Elephas maximus indicus: one gene and its partners. The protein of the gene in region 4 purifies or fractionates together with the protein of the main gene of each other region. This does not show direct contact. Links are inferred from orthologs where the notes say so. Each region holds a gene or a part of one and is shown on either strand. Other genes may lie near its edges. The genes, in order: EBNA1BP2, SF3B2, POP1 and LIN28A.

Evidence for each region.
Region 1: the proteins of LIN28A (region 4) and EBNA1BP2 purify together in Homo sapiens (affinity purification with mass spectrometry; 3 studies listed by BioGRID and IntAct, with this or other methods). This does not show direct contact. The link is inferred for Elephas maximus indicus from reciprocal best matches to the Homo sapiens genes LIN28A and EBNA1BP2.
Region 2: the proteins of LIN28A (region 4) and SF3B2 purify together in Homo sapiens (affinity purification with mass spectrometry; 3 studies listed by BioGRID and IntAct, with this or other methods). This does not show direct contact. The link is inferred for Elephas maximus indicus from reciprocal best matches to the Homo sapiens genes LIN28A and SF3B2.
Region 3: the proteins of LIN28A (region 4) and POP1 purify together in Homo sapiens (affinity purification with mass spectrometry; 3 studies listed by BioGRID and IntAct, with this or other methods). This does not show direct contact. The link is inferred for Elephas maximus indicus from reciprocal best matches to the Homo sapiens genes LIN28A and POP1.

Annotation. Positions count from the first base shown.
Region 1 is NC_064821.1:85,317,938-85,325,231, reverse strand, and holds the start of EBNA1BP2 (probable rRNA-processing protein EBP2), read left to right. Parts: upstream 1-4,279; 5' UTR 4,280-4,556; coding exon 4,557-4,625; intron 4,626-4,709; coding exon 4,710-4,793; intron 4,794-5,035; coding exon 5,036-5,205; intron 5,206-5,628; coding exon 5,629-5,752; intron 5,753-7,069; coding exon 7,070-7,159; intron 7,160-7,294. Other genes in the region: CFAP57 (cilia- and flagella-associated protein 57), read right to left, coding at 3,851-4,007. UniProt on the Homo sapiens protein: Required for the processing of the 27S pre-rRNA.
Region 2 is NC_064825.1:129,193,200-129,200,727, forward strand, and holds the start of SF3B2 (splicing factor 3B subunit 2), read left to right. Parts: upstream 1-4,511; 5' UTR 4,512-4,559; coding exon 4,560-4,692; intron 4,693-4,873; coding exon 4,874-4,920; intron 4,921-5,232; coding exon 5,233-5,310; intron 5,311-6,308; coding exon 6,309-6,557; intron 6,558-7,528. UniProt on the Homo sapiens protein: Component of the 17S U2 SnRNP complex of the spliceosome, a large ribonucleoprotein complex that removes introns from transcribed pre-mRNAs.
Region 3 is NC_064833.1:43,864,982-43,872,597, reverse strand, and holds the start of POP1 (ribonucleases P/MRP protein subunit POP1), read left to right. Parts: upstream 1-4,610; 5' UTR 4,611-4,778; intron 4,779-7,616. Other genes in the region: RIDA (2-iminobutanoate/2-iminopropanoate deaminase), read right to left, coding at 4,436-4,500. UniProt on the Homo sapiens protein: Component of ribonuclease P, a ribonucleoprotein complex that generates mature tRNA molecules by cleaving their 5'-ends. Also a component of the MRP ribonuclease complex, which cleaves pre-rRNA sequences.
Region 4 is NC_064821.1:66,882,618-66,890,061, forward strand, and holds the start of LIN28A (protein lin-28 homolog A), read left to right. Parts: upstream 1-4,440; coding exon 4,441-4,471; intron 4,472-4,935; coding exon 4,936-5,120; intron 5,121-7,444. UniProt on the Homo sapiens protein: RNA-binding protein that inhibits processing of pre-let-7 miRNAs and regulates translation of mRNAs that control developmental timing, pluripotency and metabolism.

The DNA of each region.
Region 1 (7,294 bases), about 18 Mb from region 4:
TTGAATATCTAGTAGGCATCTCAATCTTGACATGTCCAAAACTAAGCTCCTGATTTTCTCCACAGAACTTGGTTCTCCAGCAGCCTTTTCTATCTCAATTAAGAGTAACTCCATTCTTCCATTTGTTCAGGCCAAACACCTTAGTTCTTCTTTTTCTCTTCCACCCCACATGCAGGAAATTTCTATGAAGAAATGTCCCCTCTACTTCAAAACTAAATAATTCAGGATGTGACCTCTTCTCACCATCCCAATTGCCTGGCACCACCTCACTCTAAGCTATCATCTTCTCTCGCCTGGATTATTGTAACATTTTCAGAACTGGTCTGCCTGTTCCTTCTCTTTTCCCTCCTTAAGTCTACTCTCTGTCTGGCAGCCAGAATGAACCTGTTAGAACATAAGTCGGATGATACTACTTTGCTCAGAATCTTCCCATGGCTTCTCATCTCACAGTTAGGAGCATATGACCTACAAACCCTATGTGATACATTGCTTCCCATTATTTCCCTGCCTCACCTCTTGCTCCCCACAACGCTGTACACTCCACTCCAGCCACACTGGCCTCTTTGCTATTCTCCCAACACACTAAGCACCCTCCTAACTCAGAGCTTTTGTTATTCTCTTTGCTACACAACCTGCCCTCACCCATATCAGCATGGCAAGCTCTTTTACTTTCTTCAGTCTTAGTTTAAACATATCTTACTGTATTTTTATGCAAATAACTCACATGGATTATGTTTTTCTGCCTACTGCCCCTCCCCCATTTTCGTAGGTGCGCTATGCTAATTTTTTAACATGTTGCTGTAAAAAATTAGCGTAGCATGCTTACAAAAATACCTGGGGGGAGGTGCTGTTGGCAAAAAAAAAAGGAATAACATGAGCCTCATATGTGTAAAAATATGGTACCCAATAAGCCCTCCCCAGCTAACCTATCTAAAATTTCACTCTTTCCCCAATAGTTCCTCATTTCATGCTTCATTTTTTCTCATTAGCATCTATCACTATCTAATACATTATATATTGTTACATACTTTATCTTTTTTTCTTGTTTTCCTCCACTAGAATGAACACACCACGAGGGCAGGGTTTTGTGTGTGTGTCTATTCTGTGCCTCGCACACCAGGACCGGTTGCTATAGTTGACTCTGACTCATGGCAACCCCATGCGTGTCAGAGTAGAACTGTGCTCCATAGGGTTTTCAATGCCTGATTTTCAGAAGTAGATCTTTAGGTCTTTCTTCCAAGGTGCCTCAGGATGGACTTAAACCTTCAACCTTTTGGTTAGCAGCAGAGCACATTAACTGTTTGTGCCACCCAGAGTAGGTGCTTAATAAACTTCCATGGAGTAAACAAATGAATTAGATTCTCATAAAGACTGTAAGTTGAGCAAGCTGAGCATCATCTCCATTTTACAGAAGAGAAAACTCAGACTCTGTGAGGTAATAAATTAAGAGCCATATTCAAATCCAGATCTCCTGATTTAATGACCTTTATACTTTCTACCCTGCTAGCAATACCCTTATACTTGGCCTGCAGGGCTCCTTCCTTGGACCCCATATTTTAGAGTGCCCCATTGTGGTCATCCTCTAGCTGTAACATTTCCATGAGATGGAATGTCCAGGCCACTCAAGTTTGCATCACCTCTTCTAGATCATGCTCCAGGTACCTGGGACTCTGGAATTCCCCCCGCCACATGGTCCTGAGGTCTGATGACAAGACCTGCATTCTGTCTTTGGCCTTTGACCTGGGCCTGAGGAATGGCCAAAGGTGGTTTTTTATAGAAGGTATGGGTAGAGCCTGAACATGCAGGCTTCCTGTTTGAGCCCCATAGTGGTATGGAATGGGGTCAGGAGCAGAATAAAAGGGATGCAGACCAGAAAAGTATGAGTATATGGATATGAAATAAAACAGGTAATTAAAATTTAAAAACTTAATAGGTACATTAAACAGTAACAGCTGAGAAAAGAATCAATGAACTAAAAGGTAAGCCTAAAGAAACTATCTAGAATGCAATATACGGAGACTAAACCCCAAAACCAAACCCAGTGCCGTCGAGTTGATTCCAACTCATAGCGACCCTACAGGACAGAGTAGAACTGCCCCACAGAGTTTTCAAGGAGCGCCTGGTGGATTCGAACTGGCGACCCTTTGGCTCGCAGCCATAGCACTTAACCATTACACCACCAGGGTTTCCATACGGAGACTAGGAAATGAAAAATAAAAATGTGAGTTAACAGACATGGAGGATGGCATTGAGATGGTCTAGAGCTCCAGAACGAGTTAGTAGAAAGAATGAAAAAGATACTATATTCAAAGTGACAACTGATAAAAATTTTCTAGAATCATTCAAAGATACCTATTCTCAGATTCAAGAATCCCAAAGGATCACTGGCAGGATAAAAAAAGAAAAGACACATACATAATAAAGATAGAGACAGAGAAGATCTTAAAAGTACTCAGAAAAAAACAAAACCAAAAGATCAACAAAAAGAAGACTGTGATGGTTCATTTCTTAAGACACCAACAAAGCAGAGACCAAATAACAATGGAACAAGATTCATAACGTGCTGACAAAAATTCTATCCTCAGCAAAGCTATCTTTCAAGAAAGCGGATGAAATATAATCATTTTCAGACGAAAACTGAGAGTTTATCACCAATGGATTATCACTAAATGAAATGATAAAGGCTGTACTTCAGGCAGGAGGAAATGATCCCATCTGGAGCGGATTGTGATTTTTAAAACTGAGTGGTGGGCAAAGAGATTGGTAAGTATTTGGGCAAACATAAACAAATGTTACCTGTATAAAACAATGATTGGTTTAATATTAAAAATTCATATGATTATATATAAAATACAAAAAATGTATGCAAGAAAATTCAGTATCTGGTAATGTACTATTTCCTACCTTGGGTGATGAACACTTACATCTTCATTTTATTATACTTCTTAAAATATTATGTATACACAGTGAACACTCTTTCGTTGGCATATTTCACAATAATTTGTTTTTAATGCGACAAAGAGGGGAGAAAGAGATAGGTGATTAAGTTGTGGAAATCATGAATATCATCAATAGGACCTGGACCAGTGTGAACAAAAACAAATGTTGTAAAGTTATACAAATGGTTTCTGGTGACTTTGGATAAAATTTCCAGTGTCTTTCATAATGCATGGATTCAAAAGAAGCTGTATCTCAAACAATTTAGAGAAATGAAGGTGGTGTACCCTGGGAAACAGTGTTGTTGTGTGCCATCCAGTTGATTCCAACTCATAGTGACCCTATAGGACAGAGCAGAACTGCCCTATAGGGGTTCCTAGGCTGAAATTTTTACAGAAGCAGACTGCCAGATCTTCTCTCCCGCAGTAGACAACTCAAAACGTGGCTCTGATGATGACAAAGATTTGAAGATGCATAAAAAGAGGTTCTTTAAAATAACTTTTTCATGAAACTAAAGTAAAAAAAGTACTTTAACATTATTTTATACATGATCTTAACTACATATGTGTGATTAGAGCCCTAGTGGCCCAATGACTAAGCACCTAGGTCGGTGGTTTGAACTCATCAGCCACTCCCCAGGAGAAAGATGTGGCCATCAGTCTGCTTTAGTAAAGATTACAGTCTTGGAAACCTTAAGGGGCAGTTCTTTGTCCTATAGGGTCGCTATGAGCCGGAATCGACTAGACATACAGGTTATGTGTGATTAACCTATACAATAGACATTTCTTCTATATTCCTGAAAAAAAAACTCCAATTAGCCAAAAAACGTTCTTTTCAAATCTTTGCGTTGCGCTTATGGAGTTATATTCAGCACATAAAGTTAATTTATGTGTCAGAATGTAAAAGGGTTTACCTGGAATGAATTTTTGCCATTTCTGATCCAAATTGTACTTCACACAGTGATTTCCTGAGGGGAATATAATAGTCTGTTCATCAAAGTAGACGATATTGTTGGCTACGTTGGCTCGAAGACCAAAAACATGAAGCGCCTGAGCTACCACGGCGGACATGGTCAGCGACAAGCTGCTGCTGAAGACCGAAAGCCGCTTGAGAGCCCCATCCCGTCCCGCCCACGGCCCCGCCCCCAGGACCCACCCACCCACCCACGGCCCCGCCCCCGTCCCTGGGGTCCTCCTTCGCTTTCCCCCCAACGCCGCGTGACTCCTCCCCTTTCCATTGCTCTCTCGAGGCTTCCAGCTCCTCCGGACGACCTCAGACTCCCTTCCCACCTTTCGCTTCTATTTTCTGGGTCCCCAGACCACGCATGTACTACCTCTACAGATCCGAAGCAACTCGGACACTTCCAAAAGCCGGAGTAGTTTCTATAGCAACGACAAACCGGAAGTGTCGGCTTGCGGCCGGAAGCGGAAGTCCTCATCAAAAAGTTTAGCTGGAGCCGCGAGTGGCTGGTGCTGTTGCGTTTGAAGTCCACGTGGAGCCACCGAGTGAAAGTGGGGACTGAAAGGAGGCAGCAGGGGCGATAGCCACTTTTTTCCAGCCAAGCGGGCCTCAGGGTACACCACTTCTTCCGGTAGGTGTTTGGGCGTGCGTGCTGCGAGATGGACACTCCCCCGGTGTCGGGTTCGGATTCGGATTCTGATGACGACTCCCTTATCACAGACAGAGAGGTAGGTGTCAGCCAAGCTCGCGGGGCTGGGCACGAGATAGCGGCTCTTACTTCACTGGTCCCGACTGCCAATTGTGTTCCACAGTTGCAGGATGCGTTTTCCCGAGGGCTCCTGAAACCAGGCCTCAATGTCGTGCTAGAGGGGCCGAAGAAGGCCGCTAACGACGTGGTGAGCTGGGTCGCTGGATCGAGGGGTACCCCGAGATGGAATGTGCACGAGGCACGGCTGTAGGTGGGAGACTGAGTTCTTGCTCCACGGAAAGAACGTGCACTGCACATTGCCACGGGGGTAAATGACATGCAGGTAGTGAGGGGTTAGCGTTTTGTCCGTCGGCCTAGCCTTTGGGCTTGGGCTTTTGAGAGACAATCTCAGGGTACCCTTCTTTTGAGCCCAGCGTCTGGATTTCCTAGACTGGCCTGAAGCAGTGTTTGGCCGAATTCAAACGGGATCTGGAATGGGTTGAAAGGCTCGATGTGACCCTGGGTCCGGTGCCAGAAGTTAGTGGACCTCAGTCAAGTCTTCAGAAGAAGGATCAGAAAGCTGTTGACCCAGAAGATGACTTCCAGCGGGAGATGAGCTTGTATGTTTGTTTTCCAATGTGGGAAAAGTTGGGGGGGGCGGGGTGTCCCCGTGTCAGAGATTGGGGGAGAAGTAGTGAGCTAAAATTTCTTTGTGCATTCAGCTTTTGTAACAAAAAATTGCTTATGAAAGGTTCTTATGTAGATGTTAGTGACTATATAAAAATTTATAATCGACATTGGTTTCGAGTGACCATTCTCTTGAATTGCTAATTTATTTTTTAGCAACACGCTGCCTTTTAAAAAAATGGTGTGCAGCTAAATTTCTCCAAGATCCCAAATTTATGAGGTTTTATTAGTTTCTATTTGTCCTTGCTGGCGAGGTCAGATATTGAGAGTCCTGTGATCTTGGATTATGAGAGGTGGTGAGAAGAAGTATAAGGCGTCTCCCTCAGCTCATTTCACACTTTGTCTTACATTCTCAGCTACCGCCAGGCCCAGGCTGCAGTGCTTGCAGTGTTACCCCGCCTGCATCAGCTTAAAGTCCCTACCAAGCGGCCCACCGATTATTTTGCAGAAATGGCCAAGTCAGATCAGCAGATGCAGAAGGTAAAAAAAAAAAAAAGGAAAATTTTCTCTGGAAAGCCAAGGGCTTCGTACTTCGTGTATTTAGCTGCCTTTATATCCTATTATAGGAGCTCTGGTGGTGCAGTGGCTGTAAACTGGAAGGTTGGCAGTTTGAACCCACCAGCTGCTCCATGGGAGAAAGATGTGGCAGTCTGCTTCCGTAAAGATTTACAGCCTTGGAAACCCTGTAGGGCAGTTCTCCTCTGTCCTGTAGGCTCACTATGAGTCGGAATCGACTTGACGGGTTTATAATGTTTAAAGATGATAGCTATAAGCCCAATAATGGGGAATTGGTTTTTAGGGGACAATTACTATCTCTTCTGGAGATTGTCTGCTTTAGACTCATGCCATCACCACCAATTAGCGGAATGTAGGGATGATTTTTTCCCTAATTTAAGCAATTAAGGGGGGAGTACACTAAGAAATGTGATTTCCTGAGGTAAAGCCAGCCTTTTGTATTCCATAGTCAGCATGGTCATGGCATGGTGTGTAGAAAGGATAACTGTTCTTGGCCTTCTGTTGCCAGTGAGCAGTGCTATAACTTGAAGACAGGTTACTTCTCTCTGGGCCTCAGTTAACTCTTCTGTAAAATGAGGGTTAATCTCTAAAAGTCTGGTTATCTCAGACATAATATAATTTAAAGTTAAGTAGAATTTGTTACTAATTTAACTTTGGGAGGAAGAAAATTGCCGACCTTTAATTGGAGATCTGTTTAACTAGCCCCCTTGGGTCTCAAGCTGGTTTTTAGGGAGCACTTGTCTTGGTGGTACCCAGGAAAGCTAATCTAGAGATGAACCGAGACACATTTCTGTACATGCACACTGACAACTAACTTCTCATCATTTAACTGAAACGTGTGTGTTTGTGGGAAGAAGCCATGTACCTGACATCTGTTTGCGTTTTCACTGTGTGTGGTATATGGGAGAAGGAAACTGTGAGACTGCACACTGGTTTAACTTCAGTCTGTGGACAGTGGGCATGAGGAGAAGTAGGTCTTTCCAGGACCTCAAGGTGGCAGTTTTGTGTAATAGAACTAATAACAGTCTGGGAGTAGGAAGGTTGCTTTCAAGTTCTGGCTCTACCACAGAAATTTTTAGTACCTGGGACAAAGTGCTTTTGTGACACTTTGGGCCTTGTCATCCTCATATATAAAATATGAGGTTAGAATAGATGACTTACAAAGTTTCTTTGACCTCTACTGTTTCTGGAGCTGGGAATATTTGTTCCTTGCTCTGGTTTCCCTAAGTAGCAGCTATCTCAGATTCACACAAGATAAGCTGACAGCATTCTACGTTTTAGATTCGACTGAAGCTGCAGACTAAACAGGCTGCCATGGAGAAGTCTGAAAAGGCTAAGCAACTGAGAGCACTTAGGAAATACGGAAAGAAGGTAAGGAGGAAAGTATGCAGGGAACAGGAGGAGGTGGGTGTGTTTGTCAGATCAGATTGCCATGGTCTGATTTGGTTCCATGCCCTATGTGTTTTAGATCATGTATTTATCATCTCACAGTGAAGTGTGTGTGCT
Region 2 (7,528 bases), on a different chromosome or scaffold from region 4:
CTACAGACCCCTGTGTCTGCTCCATGAAGGGACAGAGAGGTTCCCCCAATAATCCCAGACAAGTTGGAATGCCCAGCCTCATCAGAATATCTGTGCTAATTTTAGTAAGAACAATCTACCTTGGGCTGCTGCCCGCTTTGGCAAATTGCTTTCCTTTCTCCAGGGAACTAAGGAAGAAATGGCACAGAGCCAGAGCTTGGAAAAGTGGCCCGGCTGCCCACCCATCCCAAGCGTGCCTTTTCTCCCCTCTCCCCTTCCAGCTCCAGGGCTGCTGTTGATGCACTTAGGGGAGGAGGGGGCTGGCTGGGACCATCCAAACCTGACTGCTGGGTGACCTGGGGACCCCATCCTGACTTGAGGGATGGCACAGACGGGTGAGTGGGGAAACTGACCTGGGCACTAGGGAGGAAGGGGCTAAAGGACGTAGAGGGTTGCAAATTAATGACCCCGGGAGATCAGATATCCTTCCATCTCCCTCTCCTCCTTTTCTTCTCCTAGCCTGCGCCAGGTCCCCAGCCCCCTCTCCCTGTCATCCACCTCCACATCCCTGTCTCCCAATTTCCTACATCCTTCTCTCTCCATCACTACCCACCCCCACCATTCCCTCGATTTCCTCCCAACCTCTCCCAGGGCTCCGGTCACCAGGCGCAGGTCACCCTGAGGCACAGGCCAGCGTCGCCCTCTGCCCCGTCCTCTCCCGTTCCCCACAGGGCAGCGCGCCCCTCCTCCAGCGCCCAGGCTCTAGGCCCCCAGACACTCCGCCCACCGTCGTCCCCTAGCCCCGGGCAACCACTGCAGTACTCACGCCGCGCGGGCTCTGCCTCCAGCCGGGCTGCTGCGGCGTGGTCACCGCTACCCACCCGCCTCTGGTCCTGAGCTCTGCGCGAGTCCTAGGTGGCCGGGGCCCTGCGCGCCAAATGCCGACCGCTCGCCGCGCGGCGCCTCGATGGGATCAGGTGGCGGCGGCCGCTCGGCTCCACTCGGCTCTGCTTTGCCCGCCGCCCGCCCCCCATCGCACACCGGAGGCGGGGCGGGGGCCGGGAGCAGGAGAGGGGGAGGGGCTCGAAGGGGAGGGGGCGGCCTGGCGGAGCTGGCGGCGCTACCGGCGTTGCAGGGGAACTCTCTCCCCGGAGCGTCTTGGGGTGTGGGCATCTTCACCCGGCAGCCTCGCAGGGGCTGGACACCAACGCGGCCAGCCCTCTTCCCTAGCTGAACTGAAGGGAAAACTGAGGCCAGGAAGGTGTCTGAATACTCCAGTGTAGCCGGGCCCCCCTCGTGGAGTTAGACGCACAGAGAGATGCGTTTACGGGCACCCACGTGCTCCCTCTCCCTCTCCTTCTCCTTTCCACCTGCGCAAGAAGCGCAGCTCCAACCCCTGGTCTGGATCCATCTGCCCTCACACCCAGAGACTCCTTCCTTCCAACCTGCGGTCCACACTCCCCGGGTCCTGCCCCCGTCCCTCACCCACTCCTACTCCCCACCAGGACTCCTTACCAAAGCTTTAGTGGGACCTGGACCCCCGACTGGGTACTGTGCATCAGGAATCAGAGGACCGAATTCCATCCTGGTTTGTCACTGAATCTCCGAGTTAAGAGGCAATGCCCTGAGCCCATGGCTTCCAGCTCCAGCTCTAAAATGGGAACAACGGCCCTGTTTCCTGGAGCTTTTCTGGGGCTGTAGAGATAATACAGGCGAAGGCTCTGTGTACACCCCAGTGTGTGTAGGGGGGTAGTCCTGAATTTTCCACTGCCTCCTTAGTCCTTGGAGTCCCTGGGCAGTGCAAATGGTTAGCACTCAGCTCTTAATCAGAAGGTTGGAGGTTTGAGTCCTCCCGGAGGTGCCTGGGAAGAAAGTCGTGTTCTTCTACTTAAGAAAAATCAGTCATCGAGAACTCAATGGAGCACAGTTCTACTCTGACATACATGAGGTCACCATGACTGGGAATTGACTCAATGGCAACTGGATTCTTAGTTCTTAGCTCCTGCCACCTGGGAGTTGGGCAGCAGTACCTCCCCCAAACCAGGCCAGTTGTCAAGAGCCCTTCATTCTGTTCTGGGAGGGACCCCTGCTTTCTCCTTTCCTGTGGGCTGGCGTGGCAGGGGTGCTGGGGCAGCCAATCAAAGCTGGGACTAATTGGGCTGGATACCCCCATTCCAAGCCAACTCAGGTAATTGGTGGGTGTTGAGGAGCAGAAGGGAATGGGGACTTTCAGCATCAGGAGAGCTGCTTGTGGTCGCAGTTCAGCCCTTTGGGCCTGTCAGCTTCTCTCTGCCCATCAAGCTTCCCTTTTGCACAATGGAGCCAGGGGGAGGGAGCGGGTAGTCCTACCCCGCCTGCCTCCCAGGGCTGTTGTGCTGAAATGAGGCCCTGCTTGGTGTGTCCCTTTCTGGCCCTGGCTACATTGCCTCCTCACCAGTCAGTCTTTACCCTAGACTGCTCAGACAGTGACCCCTCCCCCAGCAGGTTGGGGCACCTGAGGGCCTCCAGCCTCAGATGACCTGCTGGGGCTCTCAGGTTTCAGAAGCAGAAAGAGTCTTCCTTTGGGTCCAAAGTGGTTCTGCCTGAGTGGGCTGACGAGCTGGAGGGGAGGGCACCACTGTTCTTTCTTCTATGCTGTCTTTCTGGGAGTGGCAGCTGGCAACTGGGATGGTGGTCATGATGGAAGGGGTTTGGGCAGGAGTGAAAGGAACTTCCTGGCTCAGTCCTATTCCCTATTTTTCCTAGACCTCACCTCCCCTAGACCTGGGGCCGCATTCTTTCTCTGTTCCCAGCTACTTTGCTGTTGGGGGCAGTTGGTGAAATGGAGCCAGACAGAGAGAAGATCTGAAGGCAGTGTGTGTGTGGTGGGGACAGGGGTGGGTTATCCAACAGGCAGATTACCAGATCATTTGAAGTTTCAAAGATGTGAAACCCATGTGAAATTGTTCACTACAGATTAGTAAGCACAAGTAAGCCTGTGCTTACCTTGTTTACTAGGTCATCTGGTTGTCAAGGATTGTAACTTTGAAAAGAGGCTTTGATTTTGTAGGAAGGTGCTGTGGGATTGGGAGAGCGACAGATGCCAGCCATACCTAGAAGCAGAGTCTTTGATGTGATGAAAAAATGTGTGCTTACCTTGCCTATTGGATAATCCGCCCCTAGGTGGGGGTAGTAAATAAGACCATTTTACCTGAGTGCCCCCCAACTAAACACACACACACACACACACACACACACGCACGCAGTGAGCCTGGCAGTCAGGATGGGAGAGGGACCTCAGAACTAGTGGCAGATGTGGGAAGGAGAGATTGATGGGAGGAGGGAGACGCGCGGTAGCCAGACAGGTAAAAGCACCTGTCCATGCCCCTGGCAGGCCCTGGGGGTTGGGTGGGGTGGGGGGGGGGTGGAGGAGAACGGGGTCGCCTGCCACTGGGCTGGAGGGGCTCAGAGAAGCAGAGGTCCTGAGTTTGGACTACAACCAAAACCAAAGCCGCTGCCCTCGAGTTGATTCCAACTCATAGCGACTCTATAGGACAGAGTAGAACTGCCCCATAGAGCTTCCAAGGAGCGCCTGGTGGATTTGAACTACCAACCTTTTTTGGTTAGCAGCTGTAGCACTTAACCACTAAGCCACCAGGGTTTCCAGTTTAGACTAAGGAAGATGTAAATCTTGCCACCATTAAGATTGCTTCATTTACTCTTTTGCACTCATCTTTATTGAGTGCTTCTTGGATCCCAGATGCCGCATGCCAGACAGCAAAATGACCAGGTACCTGCTCACGTTCTTGGGGATGGAGGTGAGTGTGGAGAGAAGGGCAAAAAACAAACAGTAGAGGTTTGAACGTGTTATGAGAGCTCCAAGAATAGGAAAGCGGGAGAAGGCTTAACGGAGGAGACACTTGAGCCGGCCCGGAAGGTGGAAATGGGGCTTTAGTGTTGCCCTTCCCCCAGGTCGGGAGTTGGAGCTCAGCCCGGGCGGGCCCGCTCCTCTCCCGGCTCCGATCCCCTTACAGCCCATTCATCCATGTCTGGGCCGGGGGCGGGCGGGCAGACAATCAGACACTGTTTTATCACAGGCATCGGCTCCAGCCTCCCGCTTGGCGCCCGCAACGTTCGGCCACCGGGGGAAAGGGCCTCTCGGGCGTCCCTGGAAACACGAGCGTCCCGGCTCTCACGCCTATTCAGGGAGTCGGGCCGGAAGGCTGATAGTCCGCGCTCGGGCAGGCGAGACGCAGAAAGCGTCCTTCCAACTAGACAGCTTTGGCCGCAGCAACGTCCGCCCGTAGGGTTTCCCGGAGCTGTAATGGGCACTGTATTCCTGGCGCTGGACCCGCAGTGACCGTCAGCTGCGTACTACAACTCCCAGAAGGCTTCGCGACCAGGCCATCTGCGGACCACTGGATAAAGGGCGCGTCTGTTGGCGAATCACGTTTCCCGGCCGTTGGTCCGGGGTGGCCCTCTAGCCGAACAGCCCTCCAATCCGCGGGCGGGCTGCTGGACGTCGTCCCCGGAAGTTCCGGGAAGTGGGCCCGGAGCTGGCCCTGGCATCCGGGTTGGTCGCGCGCCTTCCTGCGGCTAAGATGGCGACCGAGCATCCCGAGCCTCCCAAAGGGGAGCTACAGCTGCCGCCGCCGCCACCCCCAGGGCACTATGGTGCCTGGGCTGCCCAGGAGCTTCAGGCTAAGTTGGCAGAGATTGGAGCGCCGATCCAGGGTGAGGAGCGCGGAAGGTCAAGAGGGGACTACATGGGCCTGCAGAGAAGCGGAGCCTTGTTACCTCGGAGACTCGGGGGCAGGGGGCGGAGGCGGGCTAATAGGGCCCGCCCTGGCCGGGTCGGCCGGACCTAGCCCACTCCGACCCAGCATTGATCACTGACTCTGTGTTTGCCACGCAGGGAGTCGCGAGGAGCTGGTGGAGCGGCTGCAGACCTACACCCGCCAGGTAAGTGCCAGCGGAGGGACGTCAGGATAGACCAGGCTTCTCAAGGCAGCCTTCAAGACATCACGGCTCGGTCTTCATTCTTAGTGCTCCCGGCACAGCAAGGTCTTGCACTTTTTTGCATGCTCTTGCTTGTTCTTGACTTTACCTGTTCTGTTGTCATAGCTTTATGCATAGTGGCCCTCCCCAGTGCCCGAGCTCCAAGCTCCTGCAGACGGGCACTGGGTAAGCTTTGTTGAATGAATGAGAGGGAACGTCGTTTATTGGATCAGTGCTTCTTGACCTGGTCTAGAGTTGTTCGTTCTTTTTTTGCAGACTGGCATGGTGCTGAATCGGCCGGTTCTCAGAAGAGATGATGGGGACAAAGCTGCTCCCCCTCCCATGTCAGCACAGGTGAGGAAGTTGTTCTACTTTATAAGGTCTCTTCTACCCAGGATAGGCACATCTTCTCATGTGCAGTGCACTGGGAATGCAGTTAGCAGGGTGGGCAGGGAGGTACTCCGTGGACAGAAGTGGGAGCCCTTCAGTTCTCTCTTGGTCCTGATACCTGCCTCCTTCTCCAACATTTGCTCCTCCAAATTCTATTTGACATTCAAGACTCACCTCTCAATTTCCATGTGCCTTCTGATCCAGCAGTGGCCAACCTGGGCTCCATTGACCTCAATGGATGGGGTGATGAGTCCCTAGATGGCTTTCAGACGTGTTCCTGAAGCTCCTGAAATTGTATGCAAAATTCGTTTTTTTGGAGAGAGAGTTGATAGTTTTTCTCTGTCGATGCTCCAAAGTTAACATTTTCTTTTCTTGGTTAATATCTGGGCCGTCCTCTTCCTGTATTCAAGAATCACGTGTTAAAGTTGCTGTCGTTAGATGCCTTCAAGTCAGTTTTTGACTCTTACTGACCCCATGTGACAGAGTAGAACTGTCCTGTAGGGTTTTCAGCCTGTAATCCTTACGGGAACAGATTGCCAGGTCTTTCTCTTGCAGAGCCACTGGGGCGTTTGAATCACCAACCTTTGCATTAGCAGCCACGTGCTTAACTGTTGCACCACCAGGGCTCATTGTGTGTTAACCCAAAACCAAACCAAACTCACTGCTGTCAAGTGGGCTCCAACTTATAGCGACCCTATAGAACAGAATAAAACTGCCCTGTTGGGTTTCCTGAGCTATAATCTTTACAGATGTAGACTGCCATATTTTTTTCCTATGGAATAGTTGGTGGGTTAGCAGCCGAGCACTTTAAGCATTGTGCCACCAGGGTTCCTTCCTTGTGTGTTAAGGAGGGAAAAAAGAAAGAATAATATGTTATTTGACTTTGAATCCCAGCACCCAGCAAATATCTGTAGGATAAATAGATAAGTGCTTCCTAGTTTACACTCATACTTTCTTCGCAGCTCTCCGGGATTCCCATGCCACCGCCACCCATGGGACTCCCCCCTCTACAACCTCCTCCACCACCCCCACCACCTCCACCAGGCCTTGGCCTTGGCTTTCCTATGGCAGGCGGACCCCACCCACCAAACTTGGGGCCCCCTCCTCCCCTCCGTGTGGGTGAGCCTGTGGCGCTGTCTGAGGAGGAACGGCTGAAGCTGGCACAGCAGCAGGCAGCATTGCTGATGCAGCAGGAGGAACGTGCCAAGCAGGTAGGGCAGGGGAGAGCCTGCGGCTAGGCCGAATCAGGCCCCTGAAAGGGGAGTGGAGCTCTAGAGGGAGCTGGATCGTAGGGCTGAGGCTTCTGGGAAGGTCTGGATCAATGCTTAGAACCTAGGCTGTAGGCCGGATGAGGACCACAGGAAGCAGAGTTGTGTTAGACAGAGGAATGGGGTTAGGCTGTAGGCCGGATGAGGACCACAGGAAGCAGAGTGGTGTCAGACAGGTGTGTGGGGTTAGGCTGTAGGCCGGATGAGGACCACAGGAAGCAGAGTGGTGTCAGACAGGTGTGTGGGGTTAGGCTGTAGGCCGGATAAGGACCACAGGAAGCAGAGTGGTGTCAGACAGGTGTGTGGGGTAAGGCTGTAGGCCGGATGAGGACCACAGGAGGCAGAGTGGTGTCAGACAGGTGTGTGGGGTTAGGCTGTAGGCTGGATAAGGACCACAGGAAGCAGAGTGGTGTCAGACAGGTGTGTGGGGTTAGGCTGTAGGCCGATTGAGGACCACAGGAGGCAGAGTGGTGTCAGACAGGTGTGTGGGGTTAGGCTGTAGGCTGGATAAGGACCACAGGAAGCAGAGTGGTGTCAGACAGGTGTGTGGGGTTAGGCTGTAGGCCGATTGAGGACCACAGGAGGCAGAGTGGTGTCAGACAGGTGTGTGGGGTTAGGCTGTAGGCCGGATGAGGACCACAGGAAGCAGAGTTGTGTTAGACAGGTGTGTGGGGTTAGGCTGTAGGCCGATTGAGGACCACAGGAAGCAGAGTGGTGTCAGACAGGTGTGCGGGGTTAGGCTGTAGGCCGGATGAGGACCACAGGAAGCAGAGTTGTGTCAGACAGGTGTGTGGGGTTAGGCTGTAGGCCGGATGAGGACCACAGGAAGCAGAGTTGTGTTAGACAGGTGTGTGGGGTTAGGCTGTAGGCCGATTGAGGACCACAGGAAGCAGAGTGGTGTCAGACAGGTGTGC
Region 3 (7,616 bases), on a different chromosome or scaffold from region 4:
ATTTGCTCAGTTCCCAGCCCCCAGACAACCACTGGTCTCATTCACAGATGCTTCCAGTTTCTTCACGCACATGGGAATCAAGATGAGTGTATATTCTTCCCTTTTACACAAAATATGGAATATTAAACACTCTTCTACATTTCACTTTTTTCACTTAACAGTATATCAGGGAGCTCTTTCCATGCTGCATGTAGTATGGGGCCTCATTTTTAGGGGATGCATTGTAGGGATGTACTTTAATGTATCTGTCCCTGTTGTTTCCAATAATTTGCTATTATAAACAAAACTACAATGGAACACATTATACACACACACATCTCATTTTCCCTAAGTAACTAAGCCTTTCTTTCCTGAGTCCCAGAAGGCCTCTGGTTGAACCTTTTTTATGAAAATGATAACTATGTACAGCATCTGGCCTTATGTTATAGCTAGTCCTGTTCTTATTCTAGGGAGCCCTGGTGGTCCAGTGGTTCTTATTCTAGGAGCCCTGGTGGCCCAGCAGCTAACCAAAACGTCGGCGATTTGAACCCACCAGCTGCTTCATGGGATAAAGATGTGGCAGTCTGCTCCCGTAAAGGTGACAGTCTTGGAAACCTATGCAGCAGTTCTACTCTGTCCTATAGGGTCACTATGAGTCAAAATCAACTTGCTGGCAATGGGTTTTGGGTTCTTACCCTATTTTAGACTAAGCTCCTTGAGGGCAGCACAGTATCTTACTATGTCTTTGCATCTGTGTAGGGCCTAGGTGATTCCTTGCACATAGGGGGCACACAGTAACTACCTGTTGATGTTTTATTTTGGATTGTCAATAACAAGACCTTTTAGTGTATGGGGCCCTGGTGGTGCAGGGGCTAAGTGTTTGACTGTTAACCAAAACGTGGCAGTTTGAATCCACCAGCCGCTCCTTGGAAACCCTATGGGGCAGTTCTATCCTGTCCTATCGGGTCACAATGAGTTGCAATGGACTGGATGGCAAGGGGTTTGGTTTGTTTTTTTTTTAGCTTATAGTGTGGGCTCTGGAGAGCTGAAGCAGATACATTTAAACTCTTCTCAACTACTTCACCCTCCCACCCTGGCCCACAAATAGGTAACTGCTGAACTTGGTTTCTAAGTTTTTCTCAGGCTGAATGGTAACATCAGCTAACACTGTTTCTTTGAAGTGTCCTGTGGAGAACCAGTAGTCTGTTTATGACCTTTGCAAAGCACCTTCAAGTCTTCCCATGTTTGCAACACAGTTCAAGTCCATAAGCATTATAATTTGAAACTTTATTAAAATAAAAAGGGACTCATTTATTCTCAGAATATTAAAAGTAAGTACTAGAACTCTGAGGCTACCTGAGCTATGCGAAGTCTTATCTTACAGATTAGTAAATAGATGTGCTGGACAAAGTACGCAGAATTTGATATGCCAGTGTTCACTGCAGCCTTATTCACAATGGCCAAAGGCAGACACAACCCAAGTGTCCATCAACACATGAATGGGTAAACAAAACAGGCGACTCGAAAACATCACGCTAAGTGAAATAAGCCAGACACAAAAGGGCAAATATTGTATGACTGCATTATGTGAAGTATGTGGAATACTCAAATGCATAGAGACAGAAGATTATTAATGGTTACCAGGGCTTAGGGGAATAGGAGTTACTGTTTAAGGAGTACTGAGCTTCTGTTTGGGATGATGAAAACTTTTGGAAACGGTGATGTTGCACAACATGAATATAATTAATATTATTGAATTATACACTCAAAAATGGTTAAACTGGCAATTTTTTTGCTATATAATTAAAAAAAAAAAAAGAGTAATTGGACAGTTGGCAAATTGGTATTTCCTGAGCATAAGAGTCCTACTATCCATAGACAAGTTGTGAGGCTCCAGAAAAGTGAAAAGTGCATTGTTCTACACAAGACAAAGGGTGGTAACACCACTTTCGAATCATCCTAGTAATTATCACATGTCATAATCTACATCACAGGGCCTATCACTTCAAAAATTTATAATCAGGTGCTACGTTAGCAATGCAATAGTGAAGTGATGTTGAAATCTCTCAAGGTTCTGACCTGCAGTCTTGCTGAAATGTGCTCAGTTCATTAGTTAATTAGTGACAGCACCTCATGCATCCCAATGCCCAGGACTCAAAGTTCAACACATTTGAATTTTTTCCTGGACAGGACCCAGGATTATTTAAAAAATGCACTCACTACAAACTCCATGCACATAGCAGCTAAACAGGTCTCTTGTTTCCAAATGGTTCTTAAAAATGTTCATTCAATTTTATCATGATATAACTAGTTGGTTGGGGAGTGGTTTACTCTTCAACATAAAATACTGAAAATTAGCAGCATTTCAACTGGATAATAGTGATTGAATACAGTTTTTACTAAGCACTTACTATGTGTCAGGTACCGTAGTTGATAAGGGAAATCCAAAGGATAGGCAAGGCTGTGTCAGAAAGTAAATACTTGGCATAAATCTTATCTTGTTAAATATATGCATTATAGCCATGCCAGACTCATTCATTTATGCACGTATACATTCATTCAACAAATATATATTGAGCAGCAACTTCATGCAAGGCACTCTGCTGGGCGGTGTGGATACCAGAGAAAAAGTCAAGACCCATGTCCTCTATCGCTTCCAAAGAATACAGTAAAAGAAAAACCTCTTTATTTCCTCTCATTCAACAGCACTTCTGACAAGTGGAAATAAATGCACACAAGCTAGACTTTCTGGCCAGTATACATATATTTAGCTATACACAAATACATATATTTAGTACACATAATGATCTTTGTTGTGGGAAATGAGCACAAGCAATGAATTCATAAGCATCATAATGCAATTCTAGACACGCTGTAAAAAGTGAGTTCTAAGACATACGTGAGGAGCCCTGGTGGTGCAATGGTTAAGCGCTGGGCTGCTGACCTAAAGGTTGGCAGTTGGAACCCACAGCGGGCTCAGGAGGAGAAAGGACCTGGCGATCTTATCCTGTAAAAATTACAGCCTAGGAAACCCTACGGGACAGTTCTACTCTGTCCTATGGGGTCACTACGAGTCAGAATCGACTGGTGGGCACACAACAAGATGACTTACGTAGATATACAGGGATTTCTATTTGCTAAACACTGTTGTGAAAATAACTCAGCTCTCTCCAGAAAAGACACCCACATTTGTTATGGATGGGACTCACTCCTTAAAATCAAAAGACACTTCTATCTTTATGGAAGCAGACTGCCACATCTTTCTCCTGTGGAGTAGCTGGTGGGTTCCAACTGCAGAATCTTTGCAGCCAAGTGTTTTAATCACTGTGCCACCAGGGCTCAGATCAAATGCTGTATGTTATGTGAAAGAAGTCATTCACAAAAGGCTACATATTGTATGATTCCATTGTTACGGAATGAATTGTGTCCCCTCAAAATGTGTCAACTTGGTTAGGCCATGATTCCCAGTATTGTGTGGTTGTCCTCCATTTTGTGATCTGATGTGACCTTCCTATGTGTTATAAATTCTAACCTCAATAACGTTAGTGAGACAAGACACTAAGTACCAGATTAGGCTGTATTTTCAGTCAAACTCTTCTCAGATATAAAAGAGGGATGGAGCAGGCAGGGGTGAGACCTCACACCACAAAGAAGGACCAGGAGGGGAGCATGTCCTTTGGGCCCTGGGTCCCTGCACTGAGAAGCTCCTAGACCAGGGGAAGGCTGACAAGGACCTTCCTCCAGAGCTGACAGAGAAAGAAAGTCTTCCCCTGGAGCTGGCACCCTGAATTCAGACTTCTAGCCTCCTAGACTGTGAGAGAATAAATTTGTTAAACCCATCTGCTTGTGGTATTTCTGTTATAACAGCACTAGATAACTAAGACATCCATTTATAAGAGATGTTCAGAGTAGGCAAATCCATAGAGACAAAGTGGGTAAGTGGTTGCCAGAGGCTGGGGAAGGAGGGAGGAGGAGTGACTGCTAATGAATATGGAGTTCCTTTTTTGGGGTAATGAGAATGTTCTGGAATTGGATAGTGCTGACGGTTGCACAATTTTGTGAACACAGTAAAAATCACTGAATTGTAGACTTGAAACAGGTGAATTTTATACCATGATAATTATATTTCGATAAAGCGGTTAAAAATAAATCAATAAAAAGAAACAAATTAGGGTTAGACTACTTCCAGAGGGGGAGTCTGGCACCAAGCAGGCTGAGCTCCGGCGCGAGACAGCCCGAGGCTAGGACGAAGTCCCTGGAAGCACAGGCTCCGAGTCCCGCCGCTGCTCCCAGCTGGCTGTGCCCGCTTCCCGAGCTGTTTCCTCGCGTGTTAGATGGCGTTTGCCCCGATGAATCCCAAGGCCCGCTCGGGTTCTGACCCGGAGTGACCCCAGCCCGTAGTCCCCCCGCAGCTCGCACTCCCCGGATCCGCCCGCGCCCCCACATGTCACGTTACCTGTAGGGACCAATGGCCGCTGGGGCTTTCGCCGTGCTGATCACCTTTCGAATCAAGGACGACATGGCTAGCCCTTTTGTCCAGCAGTCCCTGCAAAAAGGACACCCCACGCACTTCTCACCAAACTAACCAGCTCGGGTTAAAGGCTCGGTCCCAAGGCTTCGCTCGGCATTCTGGGAGTTGTAGTCCCGGCTTGCCTCCAGGCCACGTGTAGGAAGCGGCCGGACAGACGCATGCGCCCTCCAGCCCCCTTGCAGTGCTAGTTGCTACGGAGGGCTCTGTCGCTGAGCCTTGACGTTCTGACCCGGGGAGCCCAGGGTTCCTCTCTCAGAGCATCTGGCAGGTAGGTCCTGAGGGCTTGGTGCCTGCAGGTCCCCGGGATTGGGGGAAGCATGCTCTACCGCCCGGGCCCAGCTACCCATCCTCTCTCCCTCCAATCGCACTGGCCGCCTTTCCCTCCTTGTTGCCCGCACCCGGGCCTCTCTTCTCCGCCCCGCCCCTCCATCGGGCCTTACCCTAGGGACCCAGCGTTTACCATTTTTCCACACCGCCCCTAGGAATGAGCTTACACCTCCTCTTTTGTCGCCGTAAAGGAATAAAGTGGGCCTCCAGGGGACTACCCTGAGATCTGGGCGTTGGTCTCCTTCCCGCCCCTCCCGGGTCCCCTTTTCCTCTCCTGAGTGCTCCTCAAGCTTTACAAGGTCTCTGCACGTTTCCCTTAGACCTGACCAGAGCCCTAGGACTTGGGATCTCATTTCAAAAAGGAAGATAATGATCCTGATCCAACCGATGGTCCCAGAGCTGGTCACTGGGCAGACATTCAGTCGTGCTGGTTTCACAAAGGGTGGTACTTGGCATACATACGTCTTATCTTGTTAATACTGTATGCGTTATAGGTATGCCACACTCATTCATTTATGCTTGCGTGCATTCATTTGACAAATATATATTGAGCGCCTACTTGGTGCAAGGCAGTCTGTTAGGTGCTGGGGATACCATAGAGAAAAAGATCCTGGTCCTCTCCTGCTTCCTCAACATAAAAAAAAAAAAAAAAATTTTTTTTTTTTTTTTAAACATAGCGTAAGAAAAACCTCTTCATTTCCTGTCATTTTGTCCTACCTACTGCTAAAATTTTCGCTTTCTTGCTTCCTCAGACTGTTTTCATTGGCTCGGGACTTTGGTGTGGAATAAAAAAAATACCCTTCCAGTTTCGGCTCCTTGCCTATACAGCCTTCTGTCTCCCCATTTTAGTCAGGCCAGTGTCCTCCTGAATTGACACAGTAGATTCCTGGATACTTTTCCCTATCTATCCAAATTCCAACTAACTGAAATCCTATTTTCTCTTTGATTTTTCCTGCTGACTCATGCTTTTTCTTTCCTTTATCCAGTTTTGCATTGTGCTATATGTGTATGGAGCCCTGGTGGTGCAGTGGTTAAGAACTTGGCTGCTAAGCAAAAGGGCGGCATTTCAAATCCACCAGCTGCTCCTTAGAAACCGTATGGGGCAGTTCTACTCTGTCCTACAGGGTCGCTTTGAATGGCAACAGAATTTTATATTGGAAACTCTGGTGGCATAGTGGTTAAATGCTACCGCTGCTAACCAAGAGGTCGGCAGTTCAAATCCACCAGGCGCTCCTTGGAAACTCTATGGGGCAGTTCTACTCTGTCCTGTAGGGTCGCTATGAGTCGGAATCGACTTGATGGCAGTGGGTTTTTATACTGCAAAATTTAGTATACTGTTATACATCGTCTTATTCTTTTGCTGTTTTTGTGTATAGAGAATAGTGAATGAGTATGAAAACAAATGCAAACTATGACTGTTAAGGTAAGGTGTAAAATTTGAATGTTTACGGTAAGAGTTAAGATCCTTCTGGAAACAGTTTTAGGCTAAATCCTCAGACTTTGCATTCATTCTCTCCTGCCGTTAGAACTGTTTGAGGACTACTGCTAGTTCAATCCACTAATTTTTTAGTTTGGAACCTAAAGCTCAGAGATGTGACTTTCCAAGCTTATCCCAAGCCCCTGGTCCCAGCCTGTCCCCAACCCATTCTAGTCTGAGCAGAGTCAGGGCTCCCAGGGTGGTGTTCTGTCTTGGCGATACTCTGCTGGGTAAGCTCTGATTCAAGCAGGTAACAGTTGATGAACTAAATTGTTTCATAAAATTACTTCGAATTTTTCTTTTTTTAATTTTGTTATTGGTGTTGAGAATATACACAGCAAAAAGAAACCAATTTAACCATTTCTACATGTACAATTCGGTGACATGGATTATATTCTTCAAGTTGTGCAACCATTCTCACCCTCATTTTCTGAGTTGTTCCTCCTCCATTAAGAAACTCACTGTCCCCTAAGGTTCCTATCTAACCTTATTTTGAATGGTTCTTAATGAACACTGATAGGAATCTTGTGCTTCACTAGCCAAGTGACTTTGCAGAACTCCAACTGCTTTATAGACCTGTTGCCTTCGAGTGGTTTCCGACTCATAGCAACCCTATAGGGCACAGTAGAACTGCCCTATAGAGTTTCCAAGGCTGTAATCTTTATGAAGCAAACTGCCACATCTTTCTCCCTTGGAATGGCTGTTGAGTTCTAACAGCTGACCTTTTGCTTAGCAGCCAAGTGCTTAACCACAGTGCCACCAGGGCTTCAACTGCTTTATAAATCTTGCTTAATTTGAACAATGTTTTTAAATGTAGGTTTATTTGTCTTTCATTTAGATGAAAGTCAAATGGAGTAAAAAAGTGAAATGATAATGAATCTGTTATTTCATTTATTATTTAAGAATAATAGCTCATATATTGAGCACTTTGTGCAAAGCCCCATGCTAAGTGTGTTATGTACATTGCCTTGTTTAATTATCACAGCAACTTTGTGATTAATCCCATTTATAGAGGAGACTGAGGCTGAAAAAGGGAAAGCAATTTTCCTAAGGATTACACAACTAAAAAGTTAAGGAACGTGTTTGTAACTCTACAGCCAAAGCTCTTAAACACGACACCCACACAGGCTGGCTGCTTTTAATTTTTCATGAGGTTTTTATAAGTGAATAAAATGGGTGATAGTTAATTCAGTGGCTCTCAGTGGAAGTGGCATAGACCCTGATGTGGCATTTTGGAAGTTTGTGTGGATGTTCTTAGTTGGAGTAATGATTGGATAGCAATACCTCAGGGTATTGCAAATG
Region 4 (7,444 bases):
CAAATAACTTTCACGACTTCAGTTAAAGCCAATTCAAGAAACTTCTTGGGTGTCTTCTATGAACCAAGCACCATGCTAGGTACTGAGAATGATGTAGGGAAGATACAGAACTGAATAACATATGAATGATTCAGTCCTCAAGGAGCATGTGATTGAGTGGGTGCTAAGGCATAGAGACAAGCAAGTGCATAATAGCTAGCTATAATAACAGTAAAAACTTACAAGATTAAGAGCTAACTATGTGTCCTAGGCTAGGTTCTTTAGAAAAGCAAAACCAGAGAAGTGTGTATATATATATATATATATATATGTATGTATTTTATATATATATATATATACACATATACACAGACACATATATATATACACACACACACACGCACAAAAACAAGTCACTGCCATCGAGTTGATTCTGGCTCATAGTGACTCTATAGGACAGAGTAGAACTGCCCCATAGAGTTTCCAAGGAGTGCCTGGCAGATTTGGATTGCCTACCTGTTAGTTAGCAGCCATAGCATTTAACTACTACGCTGCCAGGGTTTCCATATATATATATATACACATAAACCCATTGCCATCGAGTTAATTCTGACTCATAGCAACCCTGTAGGACAGAGTAGAACTGTCTCATGGGGTTTCCAAGGATCAGCTGGTGGATTCAAACTGCTGACCTCTTGGTTAGCAGCTGAGCTCTTAACTGTTGATTGCACCACCAGGGTTTCATTTATGTATATATAAAGAGATTTATCTCAAGGAAATTGTTCAACCTGTTGTGAAGACTGGCAATTCCCAAATCCGGGTCAGGCATGAGGCTGGAGGCATCTCCTGACTCACTTGCTGCCGGGCTGAAGAACCCAAAATAAGCAGGTCAGATAGCAGACTGCTGGTTCACAGGGCTATGGAAGCCGGCAAATCCCAAAGATGGCAGGTCAGATGGCAAGTTGCTGGCTCAAGTTCTGAGAGCTGGAGGTCAGGTGATGATTAGCTGGATGCAGGATACAGAGCAAGAGAGAGCTTTGCCAGAGCATCCATATATATTGCATACTGGTCGTATCCCCAAGGAAACTTCCTCTCATCAGCTACTTGAGTAAGGGCATGAGTTGAGTAAGGGTGTGACTTCAGTAAGGGTGCGACTTGAGTCACACTCTCTTGTAGTAGTGTGACTCATGATACACCCTACACTAATCCTGCCTCATTAACATATAGATATTAGAATTTACATCACATAAAATGGAGGATAATTACATAATATCACATAATGGAGGATAATTACATCAGATCACAAAATGGGGGATAATTACAATCATGGCCAAGTTAACACATACCATTAACTATCACACTATGTACGAGGCACTATTCTAAAAGCTTTACATATATGATCTAACTTTATTCTCACAATATCTCTGAGAGCCAGGTATTTTCATTCCTCAGAGAAGGAAACTGAGGCACTAAGAGGTTGAGGAACTTGCTGCAGGTTGTTGTGTGAGTTGATTCTGACTTACAGAGAACCTATATGACAGGGTAGAACTGCCCCGTAGGTTTCCTAGGCTGTAATCTTTAAGGGAGCAGATTGCCAAGTTTTCTCTCCCACAGAGTGACAGGTGTTTTTAAATGGTTAGCACCTGAATGCCTAACCATTGTACCACCAGGGCTCTTTTGCCCCAGGTTACCCATAACTCATTGCCGCTGAGTTGATTCTGACTCGTAGCGACCCTTTAGGACAGAGTAGAACTGCCCTATAGGGTTTCCAAAGTTCTAAACTTTACGGAAGTAGACTGCCACATCTTTCTCCTGTGAGGGGCTGGTGGGATCAAACCACTGACCCTTTGGTTAGCTGCCGAGCGTTTTAACCACTGCACCACCAGGGCTCCTTAAACTGTAAATAGTGGAGCTGATATTCAAACATAGGCAATCTGACTCACATCTGTGTGCTTATGAAAAGTGCTAATAATTAAGGAAATAATTTTAAAGCACAGATTAATCTCTATTCTACTCTGGTTTTCTCTGACTCAGAAAATATTATCTCCTCTTTCCTCACTCTCCATGACCACATGAGTAGTTCTACCCGTTTCTCTGAAGGGATGCTTGAAATACCCGAACTGCTCTCACAGAATATCTATTGCTGGAAGCGCCCTTAACAGTGTCTAAAAAAACCTCTTCATTAATTTCAAGTGTGTCGTTGTCTCTTGGGGTTTGAGGAGAGTCAGGGTTTTCTGGGAAGGACTTGGAGGTGGAAACTCAAGAAGGCATTTTAAAAGCTGGAGGGAGCTAGGAGCCCTGAGCCTGGAGCGCGATGTCTTGGTTCAGCACCATGGACAGAACACCCGGCACCCTCAGCACCCTGGACAGAGAAGCTGATAGAGCCTGCCGGGGGAAAACAGCCCTAGAGAATGAATCAAGCTATGCCAGAGTGCTGAACTCTCCCTTCTTCAGCCAGATCTCTGTCGTCTGTTTCTGAATTTTTGGAAGTGAATATATTTAAGGGCGCTTCTAACGAAGGGGACAAGATTCTTAGATAGGGAGGATTATGTAAATAAAAATGACTGGCTGAAGTACTCAGAGAACTCTCGGTAGATCTAAATTAGGGTCCTCAGAAGTGGGACATTGATAATAAAAAATAATAATATTTGCTAATTATATGTATTTCTTTAAGCAGAACCGCAATGGGCCAGTCTTTTTTTTTTTTTTTTTTTAATCTCCCAAAGTTCCATCCCCCATCTCTTACATTCAAGGTTTAGTCTTTGGAGAGCACTCCTTGTGCAAAAGAGAGGGAAATAATCTCTACATCCCCTGCTTTTCCTCCCCATTTTCTTCTTTCCCACCCCTACTCATCCTCTCTCTCAAATCCATGCGTGCGTGCTCGCAGGCGCGCGCACACACACTGACGGGAGCAAATTGAGAAGCATGAGAGATTCCTCACAGTTGGAGAAGAAGAGTGATTTCAGAGCAAGCGGATGCCCCGAAAGCAGGCTCTGTCCCTTTAAACTGGTTGTAGCAGTGGGGGAGGGGAACTGGCCGGAGCTGGCATTGTCCAGTTTGAACTGAGCACCGGAAGTGAAGGGGCAGGGCCAGGGCCGTGCACTGAGCCCCGGGCCATTGTCCATCTCCGACCAGGGCAGTAACCACCCCCCTGACTGACCCTCTTTTTTTCCTGGAAGGGCAGGTTGCCCCTTCAAATTAGGAGACTCCCGACTTCAGTTCCCCATCAACCCCTCTATGGGGAAGGGAGCGCACTTTAGGACGGTGACTCAGGGACCTAAGAGTCTGGGAACCTAAGAGTGTCGGGAGTACAGGAGGAAGACCTTCCACCCACCTCCCCACCCAGTCCCTCTCTAAGCAATGAGTGGGGTGGGGGTGGGGACAGAATGAGAAGGCAGATGGAGGAGAGGGGAGCACATTTTAAAGCCTCTTCGGGGTCCTGCTACTCTCCCAGGGAGCTCTACCTGGGGCTAACTTTAGACAGATTCGAATGAAGGATTCTTTACATAGAATCAATGGGAGCACTTTCTCTCTTCTAATCGAGAGAGATCCAGAAAAAATCTCAGTTGGAAACTCAGAGGCAGAGACCTTCAATATAGTCAGAGGCTACAGACAAGAGTTTTCAGAGGTAGCGCCTCAGTCAGGACTGAAGATAGGCTCTGCCCAGTCTCTAGCCTCTCACTGCTCTCCTACCCAGGTTTCCTAGTGTCCCGAACTCCAGGTCTATCTAAGCACACGGGGGTGGGGGGTGAGAGCAGGTCAGCGCCAAGCAGCCGGGTCAGCTCAAAGGCCTGAGGGGGAACGGAGGGGGAGGAGCGCTCAGGGGCTGGGGGAGGGGGAGGGCTCATCCATTTCTCCCTTGACAGGTGGTTTGTGTCTCTGATTGGCCAGCACCGCCAGGCTCACACCTCCCTCCCCCAACTCTCTGGAATGTATAATTATCTGCGCGGGGGGTGGGGGTGGTGTGTGAGTGTGTGTGGGAGCAGTCACGTGGTCTTAAAACTACCCCCCCAACCCCCCACCTGTATGCTGCTTTGGGGACCCCCATTGTGCCCTTAAAGTGCAGGACCCCAAATTCCGGGGTACCAAGACTTCTACGGCAGAAGGTCCCCATCTCCAGTCGAGCGTGTGAGGAGGGGGGTGTCAAACCTCAAGGTTCTGAGAAGGGACACCCCAGAGGTGTCAGAGATCGGAGCTGTGGGGGGAGGGCCGGAGCTGGAGCCGGAGGGAAAGGGAGGGGAAAAGAGAGAGAGAGAGGGGAGGGGAGGGGGCTGCCCGCGGGGGGTTGGGTCATTGTCTTTTAGAATTTGGGAGCCTTTGAAAAACCGTGGGCCCTCCCACCGCTATTGTGCCGGGGAAGATGTAGCTGCCTCTTCTTCGAGCCACCCCTTTGCCTCCGGACTTCTCTGGGGCCAGCAGCCGCCCGACCAGGGGCCCGGCCCGCGGGCTCAGCCGACGAACATGGGCTCCGTGTCCAACCAACAGTTTGCAGGTTCGAGCTCGGAACTTAGGGGCGACACCTTAGGTTGCGGGGCGCCCAGGAGCCACGTAAAAGGAAAGTGGGGAAGTATCTTCCCAGGCTGCCCGTAGGACCCCAAGTCGGTGCGGCCTCCTGCTTCAGGGGACCGTTTCTGGAGCAAGGAACCCTGGTGTCCCACCGGCGTGTGCTCCGAGGCTACGGGGCAGGGGGGGAATAGGAAGGGCCTGTCCGGCTCTCTGTCCGCGGGCAACGTGTAGTGGGAAGAGGAGCAAAACTTTCGGGGCACCACTGGTCTCGGTGTAGGCTTTGGGAGCGCGGGAGGCGGCCGGGACAGGTCTCTTCTCGCGGGCTGCCTGGTGGGTGCAGGCTCCTAGTGTCCACCCGCGAGACGCTCGGATCTCCCTGTCCCGTCTCTGCGAGGGCCCTCTGAATGCGTGGCCCCCCAACTAAGCCCCCGGTTCCCTCTCCATCTCCAGGTGGCTGCGCCAAGGCGGCGGAAGAGGCGCCGGAGGATGCGGCCCGGGCGGTAGAGGAACCGCAGCTGCTGCATGGTGCCGGCATCTGTAAGTGGTTCAACGTGCGCATGGGGTTCGGCTTCCTGTCCATGACCGCCCGCGCCGGGGTCGCGCTCGACCCCCCGGTGGACGTCTTTGTGCACCAGGTGAGACTCATTCCGTAACTTTGTCGGGAGCGGGAGGGGGTATAGGTGCTCATATTCCGGGGTGGGCGAAGGACTTGGCTGTTGGATTAAGATTGAAGCCCCTCATTGTGTGTACCCATCTTTGCCGTGGCACCCCGATTCTGGGTCCCCGTTTACTCCGATGGGGAAGGATTGGGGGGCAGCGCCGGTTATCAGCACCTCCCCACCCCCTTCCGGGAACCCCTCAGGCTCACCACGTGTCTGTTACCTCTTTCCCCTGGGAAGAGGGCAGAGGGCAGGGAGGTGACCCCATGTGGCAGAAACTAAGGTTGTATTGTGCTTGCCGGTGGGGGGAGGGCGAGCGGCCGACCAGGAAAGCACATGCCGGGGCCGGGCAGGCGCTGAGCGCCCAGCGCCTTTCACTAACCTCTGAAAAGAGCTGGGAGGGCGGGAGAGAGGGAGGGAAACTGGCTCCCAGGCCCAGCCGGCGTGTTTAATACAGACCTCAGCCAGGTGGTGGCTCAAACTCAGGCCCTGAGGCCTGGTGGGTTTGGCGGATCCTTGAAGGATCCATCTGGGGCCTTGAAAGCTCCTCTGCAGGAACGTCTAAGGCGCACAGTTCAGAGAAGGGGGCCTTTGCTGTCCAGTGAATATCCGGAAGAAAAACCTAAGGCATCTAGGCCTTAGATTCCTGGGCCAGGCTGGGAGGAAGTTAGGTGGCAATCCCAAGTTCTCAGTTAAAGCAAGGAAGCATAGTGGGGGTGAAATTCAGTGTCACAGGGCAGGGGGTGGAGTAAGGCTGGCCTCTGAACCTATTCTCCTCGGCCTGGCATTTATGGCCCCAGACAGACATTGATTACTGTCCTAACATTCCCGGCCTCAAACAAGGAGTCTGAGACTTCAGGTCGCTCTCCTCCCGGGCCTGTTCTTCCTCTCACCCCTTCCCTGAATATGCTAGAAGTGTTTCCGTGGTCCCGGGATACCAGCCACTCATACCAACCATGTAAAGCAAGTTGGCTGCATGGGCCTCTTCCACCTTAGGAGGTTTGGGGCTGGACCTGGGAAGAAGAGATTTCTAGTCCCTGGCTCTGGAGGTTGACACCCAGGCCGGGCAGGGAGGGGTTACTGCAGGGAGGTTGGCCCCAGGAGCTGTGGGGGAGGGGAAAGGAGGATGTAGGGATTAAGAGTTGGAGCCTGAGGGTTGGTAGTCTGGAGGGGGAGGGGCAGGGAAGGGAGATGCTGGGTGGACTGGTTGGAGGTGGTGGAGAAGTCTTCTAGCAGGGCCCTCACCTTGAAGGAGGTTGAGGGTGAGATGAAGGGGGAGAGTCCTAGGAGATGGCGACCTGCCCGTTAAAGTTGAATCCCTGGGTCATTGGGCAACTCGAACACCTGCCTGAAGCCTTAACTACATCTTTGCAGCAACACCCCCCACCCCATCAGACAACCATTTTCAAGCTGGTGGATTTGTCCCCCTCCTGTCTCATTTACATATGTGAATGATAACCCACAGGAAGTAATTGTGGGAGAAAGAAGGGACTTGGCCTCTTTAGATCTATTAAATCACTTTATTGCAGGAACCAGCTTTGAATGGCCCTCCTCAGCAGGGTGCCAAGCCTCCCCCACTCTCCCCTTTATCTGATCACAAAGAGATTAAAATCTCTTCTGGTCTGGAGACGACTGGACAGCTTCCCCAGTTTGGGGAGGCTGGAATAAGAGTCAGACCCAATGTTTTCTTATCTCCCCTCAAAAGACTACTAACTATTTAGGGAGGGGCTGAGGGCAACATATCCCTTCATCTTCTGGGGTTCTGTAGTGATATCCAAATTCCAAGGAAGGTTGGGATCCACACTTTAGCCCACTTAACCTTTGGGATCAAATGCAATTGGAAAAGTATTGGATGGCATCACTCGTGAAGGTAAGGAGGGATGGCTGTGAGACTTGCGGAGTGGAGCCCCTTCCGTGCTGTTTCAGATGGGTTAGCAGGAAGATACTCTGGTCTTTAGGTCCTGAGATGTCCAGGTGCCCACGCCTGTCTCTGGAAAAGGAGTTGAATAATTTATCAGGAGGGAGCAGAACTGGGAAGAAAAAAATCAAGAACTTCTCTTCTTAACCCACCTCCCCTTCAGTCAAAGAGGACAATAACTGATAGAAATTCACTGAGCCTTACCTGATAGCTCTGTCTTTATCAATGCATGCTGCTGGCTGGGTCTTGGGTAATTCCTAAAACCCCACCTAGTAGTATGCTACACTAGTGGTTCCAATCCCTGCACTTGAGAAGTTTGAATATCTCTGGGAATTTAATGTAGAAGACAAAGACGGAAGAATTTTTGTTTGTGTTTGTGGGA